2 linked regions of the Arabidopsis thaliana genome follow. The protein of the gene in region 1 interacts with the protein of each later gene in a pairwise test. Each region holds a gene or a part of one and is shown in the gene's direction. Other genes may lie near its edges.

Region 1 (4,527 bases):
CTCATCATCATCATCACCATAATTATCATCCATGTGCATGGAATATGAATCCCATAACTCTTGTTTAACATTATCATCATGAAAAACTCAACTTTATGGTATCCACATCATCATCATTATCAATGTCATTGTCGTCATCATCATGTGGGGATCACTATACCAAGAGTCTTTTTGTTAAGTTTTTTTTTTCTTTATTGTTGTTATTATTTTTCAATGTGTTATTTAGAGTAGATAAGTATCATAGTGATGATGATGACTTGTCAGCCCCATGCATGGGTCCCGTTTTATGTTCTTCTGTTGTTTTTGGTTTCTCTTTGAAGGTTTTTTTATGATCTTAAATTAGAGCCTAGAGAGGGGCATCTCCTTTAGAACCTTTAATTGGAGTTGAGTTCTTTACCATGTTTTGGTGAAAGATTTTGTCGTTTGCTATCGACAATGTTATATATAAATTAGATATCTTTCTTTCTTTGTTAATATTAGCTATGTCCATCTTTGGCTAATTATGTATTTGGCAAATCTGCTACTAAATATCATTAATTTAGCCGATTTCATGCAAAAATAAATAAGCCCTAAAATGCTGAGTTTCCAATTCTGAAGACATTTTCAACCATATCAATCGATCAATGTCATATATTCACATATCGAAGGTGTACATATAAAGGATTGAATCCATGATTTTCCTTTGAACTCTTTTATGAATAGTTTTGAATGTTTTTTTGTTTGATTATAGTTATAAGATATTTAATAGCGGTGAGTGAACGAGACCAAAAAAAAGGTGATTAAATGTAATAAACTTTAAAACTATGGGATATCGAGAAGAAAATAATGTAACGAGAAAACATCACATTAGACTTCAATAATGCTTTTAAATATAGAAAAAGGATTGATAGTAGAAGCAAAGATTTTTATATTGGTATGATTAGTAGTAAAACAACACGGTAAAAAAAAAACAGTAGGCGAACCAAATAGTTAGATTTTGATTGGTAATCTCGTATGGTTGCAGTATTTTACCGTTCTAAACTTCTAATTATTACTAGTGACGAAAACGTTGAAAAACGAGATTTTTAAAAAAAAGTTGTAACTATTTTTTTTAACAAAAAAAAGTTGTAACTATTTTGGTATTGTTTATTGTTTTTTTTATATACCTAAAACCTCTAACCTTGTTTTTTACCAGTCTTACTTTTGACATAAATAAAAATAGTGGTTAGAAATAGTTTTCAGTTCTGCTGCTTTCTTACCCTTTTTATGTCTTTATGATTGGTAATTTGGTATCAATCGGAACAAACTAAAATTGTTAATTGTAGTCCTTAGTCCTAATAGTTCGGTTATCCATTCGGTTTCAGTTTGTATCTATTCGGTTTCAACTTTTTCGGTTCTAAAGTTTAGTATTCATTTGGTTATTTTGAAAGTTTGATTCGTATCGGTTTTTTCAGTTTTAAAATTTAATATCCATTCTATTATTTTGCTTTGAATATTTTTGGATATTTCGGTTATTTTGGATATTTTCGATCATTTTTGAATATTTTCGGTTATTTTTTCGAGTATTTTTACTATTTTATATATCTTTTCAATTATTTTTAATTATGTAGTCTAAAAATAAATAATATTTAGTATCCATTTAGTTTTGGTTCTTTCGGTTCTTTCATTTATAGAATTTAGTATCCATTCGAATATTTTCCAATTTTTGGTTTGCTTTGATTTAATTAGTTTTGCTTTGATTTTGATTCGGTATATTCGAGTTGGTTTATTTGTCCACGCCTAGTAGTCCTGATCATGTAAATGACAGAAAAGCCCAAACGAGATCCAAACCTATAAAGGCCCAATAAATAGTTCACAAACTCATGACCACTACAATCCAACGACGTCGTATCATCTCGCTGACGTAAGATAAGCATCGTAACTAATTAAAATCCAAGTAATAAGTTTGGGTGCCGTGCAGGTAACAATCACTAAACCCTAAATCCATCCTCTCTGTTTCCTTTATATATATTCTCTCCTTTTTTCATTTTTTTGATCCTCTTCTTCTTCTACAATCAAAATTCATTTTTTTTTCCTCTGATCATCATCGAACCCTAGTTTCGTCTTTTGGGTACGTTTGATTTCGCCTCTCCACTTTGTCAATTTCGAGTTTTTGTGGTTTGGGTTTTTTTCCCGATTTAGCCTAACAGATAAAGTTTCGAGTTTTGTTTCTCTTAATCATCGTAGATACTAACCGAATCATCATGGAGAAGAACTCCTTCAAGCTTTCTAATCCTCTGGGTTAGTTTCCTTGTTTCTTCTTTTTTACTTTTTGCAATTTCTGTAGGGTTTTTGCTTGATTGATGTCACTCGATAAGCGTTTAAAGGATAGTTGTTTACTTCTTTGGTTTTCTTCGATCTTTTGGGCTTTGGATTGTGTTACGATTATGATCTTTGTTAAAGGAACTCAAGTTTTGATTAGCCTGATCACGAGTTTGTTGGTTCTGATTCTCGATCTCTGATATTGGTTACTCTGTTTGTATTCTCCATTGATTTACATTAACACGATTAAGTTATTAGACCTAGTTTGTTGTTGAATCTATAAAGATTTAGTACTTGTGCCTCTGGAATTTTCCTGGAAGTTACTTGAATTACATGTCACTAAGATGTGTTCATGTGTTTGTATAATCCGTTAGTTGTGACTGATTTTTTATGGTTTTGTTTTGGTTTCAGAGATGAGAATGGCTGAGTCTACTCGTATCAGAGCGAAATACCCTGAAAGAGTTCCCGTATGTTTTCTAAACTCTCACTTTACGGAACAAGATTTACAGTGTCACCCTAAGTTTCTAATTAGAGAACTCAATACAGGTGATTGTGGAAAAAGCTGGACAGAGTGATGTTCCTGACATTGACAAGAAGAAGTGAGTAATTTGTTTTACATATTATCTCTATCTCTCTTGTTGGATCATAATGGTATCAAATCACAAATTAGCTTTCAATCTCCTTTGAGTCTAATGGAAATGTGATATGATCCGGTAATCCTTTTAATCACTAGCTGATGAAATTTTGAGTCTAACTATAGTTCTCATTCTTCAAAACTTGTCCCTTGGTACAGTTTAGCAGTTTCTAGATACAGAGATTGAATTGCATAGCATTATTTTTTGCTGGTTTTGATGTTTTTTGCTGACACCTGTTTCTTCTCTTTAGGTATCTTGTACCAGCTGATCTAACCATTGGCCAATTTGTGTACGTTGTGAGGAAAAGAATCAAGCTTGGAGCTGAAAAAGCCATCTTTGTCTTTGTCAAGAACACATTACCACCAACTGGTAAAGGATTTTAACACTTTTTAAACCTTGTGTGAATCTTCTACTTCTATGGTTCATGTATAAATATGGTTTCTCTCTTTTCTGGTTCTTACAAACAGCGGCATTGATGTCTGCAATCTACGAAGAACACAAAGACGAAGACGGGTTTCTCTACATGACATACAGTGGAGAGAACACATTTGGTGGATCTTTCTACTGCTAATTACCTCAGCTTCTACGTCTGATCCTCTTGATGATTGTACATTCTCGTCGACCTTAATAATGTCATTTTACTTTCTTGGTTTAACCTTTTGAGCTCTCTTACTATCTCTTGCATTTGAAGATGGTATTTGAAACAAGATTCTAATTTGACTCTCTAGTTTCTTTGTTTTGTTTCCTCTGCATCTTCTCTATTGCCATTGAATAAAATAACCTCTATAGTAATATCATCATCAACGTTGATAAGTTCGTCTGATCAATTTACTAATTAGCTAAATTGTCTAAACCGAAGAAAAATCCTAAAATTGAATTAACCGAAAAAAACCAAACCAAACCAAGCACAAACCAAAAATTGAATTGGAAAATTCGAGACTTATATTATTCTCTTGGTTCTACGGACATGGACCGAGTATAGCTTCTGATCTTGCGACTGTTGCTGTCTCCGCCGCGAATCGTTCTCCTACCTTCGTCAACTACACCGGCAAGGTACGAAGCTTTTGTTATACTCTAATTAGATTTGTGGTATCTTCGTGAACCTTCAATTCAATTTAGGGTTTCTCAATTCGATTACAAAGATTCGTACTTGATTTGTTTTCGAATTGCTGGACGAGTTTGTCTTATTGGGAAATGATTTTAGTAAATCGTTGAAGAGAAATCAGGAAAGTTGAATACTTTCTCTCTTAAAGTTTTGAGCTTTTTGGATTGTAAAATTGGACTAATGGAGAATTCAATTCTGTGTTAGAGTTGTTATCATGAAGAAAGGTTTGATGCGATGGGATGATGATGATGATGATGATGATGAAGACTCTTCTGAGGAATCATCATCGTCTTCTGCTTCTGATTCAAATGTGGATAATACAGAGATTGGGGAGAAGAAGAAGAAGAGAAAGAGCAAGAAGCCAATAGGTAGGAGAAAAGCTTCATTGTTTTAACTTTGTGAGAGCTCTTTTATGTAACTTTGTTTTTTTTTTTACGGTTGCAGCGAGGTTTGCGAAGAAAGATAAGAAAGCTTTTGACTATGAATCTCTGCAGCAGCATGGTTACA
Region 2 (4,225 bases), on another chromosome or scaffold:
GAGAAGCTAGAATCTCAACATTAAGACAAGTATTCCCAAGAATGGAAGACAAAAGAAGTCTTGCATCTTCTGAAGAACGAGCTCGAATCAAGGGCAAAGCTTCTTTATTAGCTGCACTTGACTACTACGTTAGTATGCACAGCGACATTTTCATCTCCGCATCACCTGGAAACATGCACAACGCTCTTGTTGGTCATCGAACATTCGAGAATCTCAAGACGATCAGACCAAACATGGCGTTAATAGGACAGCTTTTCCTCAACAAAAGCATCACTTGGGTAGATTTTCAGCAAGCGCTTGGTGAAGGACATGTGAATAGACAAGGACAGATCCGGTTAAGGAAACCAAAACAGTCGATTTATACTTATCCTGCTCCTGATTGTATGTGCCATGTTTGATTAGTTTTTAAAGTCTTGATCTTTAGATATTTCTTATAAGAATAAAAATAAAAACTCTGATTCTTGATGAGGCTAGTTTGTGTTTAGATTTGTGTTCTTGAGGCTTAATAAAAAGAGTATAGTTTGATTAGAAATTTGATTGTGAATGAATATTACAAATTATTGTAGCGATAATGATAATTTGATCAAAAATAAGTAAAGAAGATCAAGTGGATAATCCCTTATTAACAACCACAAGTGTCTAGAATATGCTTATTAGTAATAATCCCTTCAGATTCATCAACCTTCAGATTCTGATGAATGCACTATTTTTATTTTGTAATCATCTTATAAGAATTTATTCTAATATTTGAGAATTGAAGATGTGAAACTTTATGAACAATAAATTAGCACTAGTAGAGCCTTGAATTGTGGCCAAGAAAAGCTGACGACCTATTGGAAAAAGGAACCTAGAATTTTGTTTCTTTGTTTTGTTCTTTTTATGACGTCTGTTACCCATAATTTTGCAGGTTTTTTGGCGACCGTTGTTAATTAATTAAATATATTAACATATTTATTACTCATACCATTTATTATGGGTGGGTGATGTTTTAATAAAGTACTTAAAGTTTTAAGATCAATCCTTGACCCTTGTGATATACGAGTAGTATAAATTTCATTGATTTTAATAGAGATTTTAATTAAGCATCTCTATAATTACACAAAAATCCATAGAGAAACCAGATGATTGAATCGGGGGAAATGCATGAACTTTAATTATTTCCGATTGATAATTCCAAGATTTTGTATCATCATTATACCAAAAATTAAAATTAACAAGAAAATCGATTTGTTTTATTAAATATAAAATGTTGATTTATTACGTATAAATCCCTGATATTTGTTTTTTGTTTTACTTTTCTGAATGGGATATAATCAAGTGTTATGAAGTGTATAGTAGAACGGTGGACCGACAGTTGCCACGAAAGCAAGTAAACCGCTACCAACCGTCGGATCAATCTTTATTGGCTTTGCAGAAGCGAGGCCCAATTAAAACGGCCTAAAATAAATAAACAAAAGAAATAAAAAAAGGAGAAAAGAGAGTAATATAAATGAAGCAGAGCAGAAGATGAGCTTCTCTGTACAAAGTCAGAGAAAAGTCAGAATAAGAAGAAGAAGAAGAAGAAGAAGAGAAAGAGAGTCAGAGACGACGACGGACGAAACGACGCTATTCTTACGCTTTCTTCGATCGTCGATTTGATTTTTTCCCTTCCTTCTTATTTTTCTCGGTAATTTACTACGTTTCGCAATTACCGGAGATTTTTCTCTCTTCTTCCTTCCGATTTTTTCGCATTTATTTCCGCCGAATTTTCCGGCGAAGCCTTGCCGTCTTTTGACGGACATCGGAGGCTTTTGATGATCATCCTTTGTTTCTTCAATTGTCGACCGCTTTCGCTTTTCTATTTTTTAGCGATTGTTTTTTTTAATTGGACCACCGATCTGATGAAACATTAATTACTTTCCATTGATGAAGAATCATCGAGTGAAAATTTAAAAAAGAAAAAATTGAGATCTTCGTTGTGTTTATCCTGAAATTTCATTGAAAATTGAAATTGAGAAGAAAAAATTCTGTTTTAATCATAAAATCTCGTGTTTGATATTATGTTGATGAGTTAATCTAATCTAATCGATCACATCATAAACAGTATTAATGGATAAGAGATTTTCTCTATTGGCATCTGAAATTTGTGTTAAAGTCTTTGTGTTTGGTCAGTGTCATCATTATGTTGACATTATGATTGTTTTATTGATGGTTGATTTTATTTTTAAATTGTCAACAGGTTGAAGTAGAAGATAAAGCATCGATACATGATGGCTGATTGATAAGAGTTTTCTCCGGAGAGGTTCGGAGTTTTTTTTTTAGAAAGGAAACATTAAAAAAGATGGCAGTCTCTTTTCCTCGTCTTCCGAGGTGGTTGTGTGGTGGTAGTAACACTAAAGATAGAGAGAAGAAAGAGTCAATTCCTAAAGGATCTTCTTCACTTAGTCCTTCACTGAAGAAGACTACTACTAGTAAGACTGGTTCTTCCTCTTCATCAGTGAAGAAGACCAAGAGAGGATGGATTGGAAGAGGAGGATCAGGATCAGGAGGGGAAGAGGATAAGATTGGGAATGTGGTGTTTCCTGAACCTGATGATCCAGAGTGGTCAATTGGTTGGGTTGAGCCACATGGACCAGGTTTTAAAGCTGAGGATGATGATTGTGGTGGCTTTGTGGTTTTGGTTCCTCTTTACAAGAAAGTTATGGATGGTTCAGGGAATCAGATTCCGAATGGCTTCTTCTCTCCTGCTGCTCCTGGTAATGTTTGTTTCCATTATCATCATCATTCATTAATAGCTATCATGTAAATTATCTGCATGTTCTTTTAAGAACTTAAGTAATTGGTTTGAGTCTTTTGTTTGTAAATTGATTTGTTCTTTGTTCTGATGACATGTAAACTGCAGATGGGAAGAACATGGAACAGTGGCTGTCGTCTATGGGGAAGCTATAAATTGGAGATTGGGAAGAATAAGACTAGTTCTCTGTTGTTTCAGTATCGAGATTTAAGCATCGAATAATCTAAAAAAAAAAGAAAAGGAAAATAAAAAAAAAGAAGAAGCAAGATTCGTTCGTGGATATAGCTTCTGGAGACTTCTTTTGATTTTCTGTTTGAAGCGAGTGACAACAAAACACCAAGTCATATCTCAAGAATCTACTAATGGACAAAGATGATGCTGATGGAGACCTAGCAACATGAAGATGAATATGATATGATTTGAGTATTGGATATTTTTCATGTGGGTGTTTTTTTCCGGTTGTGAAAGCGTTTCTGCTTCACTTCTGTGGTCGAGATAAATTGGGTTTGGAAAAGGAGAAAAAAAAAAAAAATCTTTTTTCTTTTGTTCCTTTGTGGTTTGATGATGTGTAATAGTAGTAATGTACATGTACATATGTTGTTTTCTTGAAATCACATGTCATGTGCTTACTTTCGACAACACAAAAACTTCCCCAACAACGTTACTCACGATTATGTGATTAAACAAAGTGAACCCAAAAACAAACTACATTTTGATAAGCATTCAGTTTTTGTCGCCGGAATCTTTTGGAAGCTGCAAACCCATGAGGCCGAGCAAATTGGAAGCAGGACCAGGAAGTCCTTGTTGTGAAGAGTAGGATTCAAGTAGGTTCTTAACAAGGTTAAAATCTGCATCAACTGGTGTAAACTCATCATCCTTCTCATCTCTAGTTTTTGATGATTCCTGCAGAGACATTACATTCATCTCATAAATACCATTACAGTCAAAATCTAAGCTCCTAAATTCACTGAGTCTAGTTATGAGAGTTACCTCGTTTTGCTTAGAAGAATGTTGTTGATTCACATTTTCAAAGCTTTTCTCAAGAGTTGAGTTTTTCAGTTCCTCATTCATTGCTCCATAGTAGGATTCCTCAAAGCTTTCCTTAGCATCTTCGTTAGATTCTTCTCCTTCGCTATCATCTTCAACGTCATCTGCATACCATAACATTTTAGTAAGTCCCACATCACATTTCACACCTTATAGATCAGTATATGTTGCCATTAGGAAAAAAAAAAAAGTTTAGGAAATACCAAAATCCATGTCCATGGAAGATCCTTCAGAGCCATCACTGTCATCATCAGCTTGTTCGTCACGACCTTGGCTTCCTAGCATTGACTCAATATCTTTCATGAAACGATCAACATCTATACTCACTTCTTTGAAATCCCTACATAAGTCCAGAAAAAAAAAAATTAATGTGTTGAGCTTGAAATTAACAAAGAGATGTTCATG

What was found.
Region 2: the proteins of ATG8B (region 1) and AT5G65480 interact in a two-hybrid assay, tested with the Arabidopsis thaliana proteins (one large-scale study listed by BioGRID).

What each region holds. Positions count from the first base shown.
Region 1 is NC_003075.7:2,327,622-2,332,148, reverse strand, and holds ATG8B (Ubiquitin-like superfamily protein), read left to right. Parts: upstream 1-1,558; 5' UTR 1,559-2,089; exon of another isoform or gene 2,090-2,205; 5' UTR 2,206-2,222; coding exon 2,223-2,259; intron 2,260-2,691; coding exon 2,692-2,747; intron 2,748-2,826; coding exon 2,827-2,879; intron 2,880-3,165; coding exon 3,166-3,284; intron 3,285-3,382; coding exon 3,383-3,486; 3' UTR 3,487-3,707; downstream 3,708-4,527. Other genes in the region: AT4G04614 (uncharacterized protein), read left to right, coding at 4,235-4,388, 4,465-4,527. UniProt on the Arabidopsis thaliana protein: Ubiquitin-like modifier involved in autophagosomes formation. May mediate the delivery of the autophagosomes to the vacuole via the microtubule cytoskeleton.
Region 2 is NC_003076.8:26,174,507-26,178,731, forward strand, and holds AT5G65480 (uncharacterized protein), read left to right. Parts: upstream 1-1,514; 5' UTR 1,515-1,666; exon of another isoform or gene 1,667-1,874; intron 1,875-2,218; 5' UTR 2,219-2,320; coding exon 2,321-2,735; intron 2,736-2,881; coding exon 2,882-2,928; 3' UTR 2,929-3,411; downstream 3,412-4,225. Other genes in the region: AT5G65470 (O-fucosyltransferase family protein), read left to right, coding at 1-398; AT5G65490 (suppressor-like protein), read right to left, coding at 3,497-3,676, 3,764-3,924, 4,024-4,160.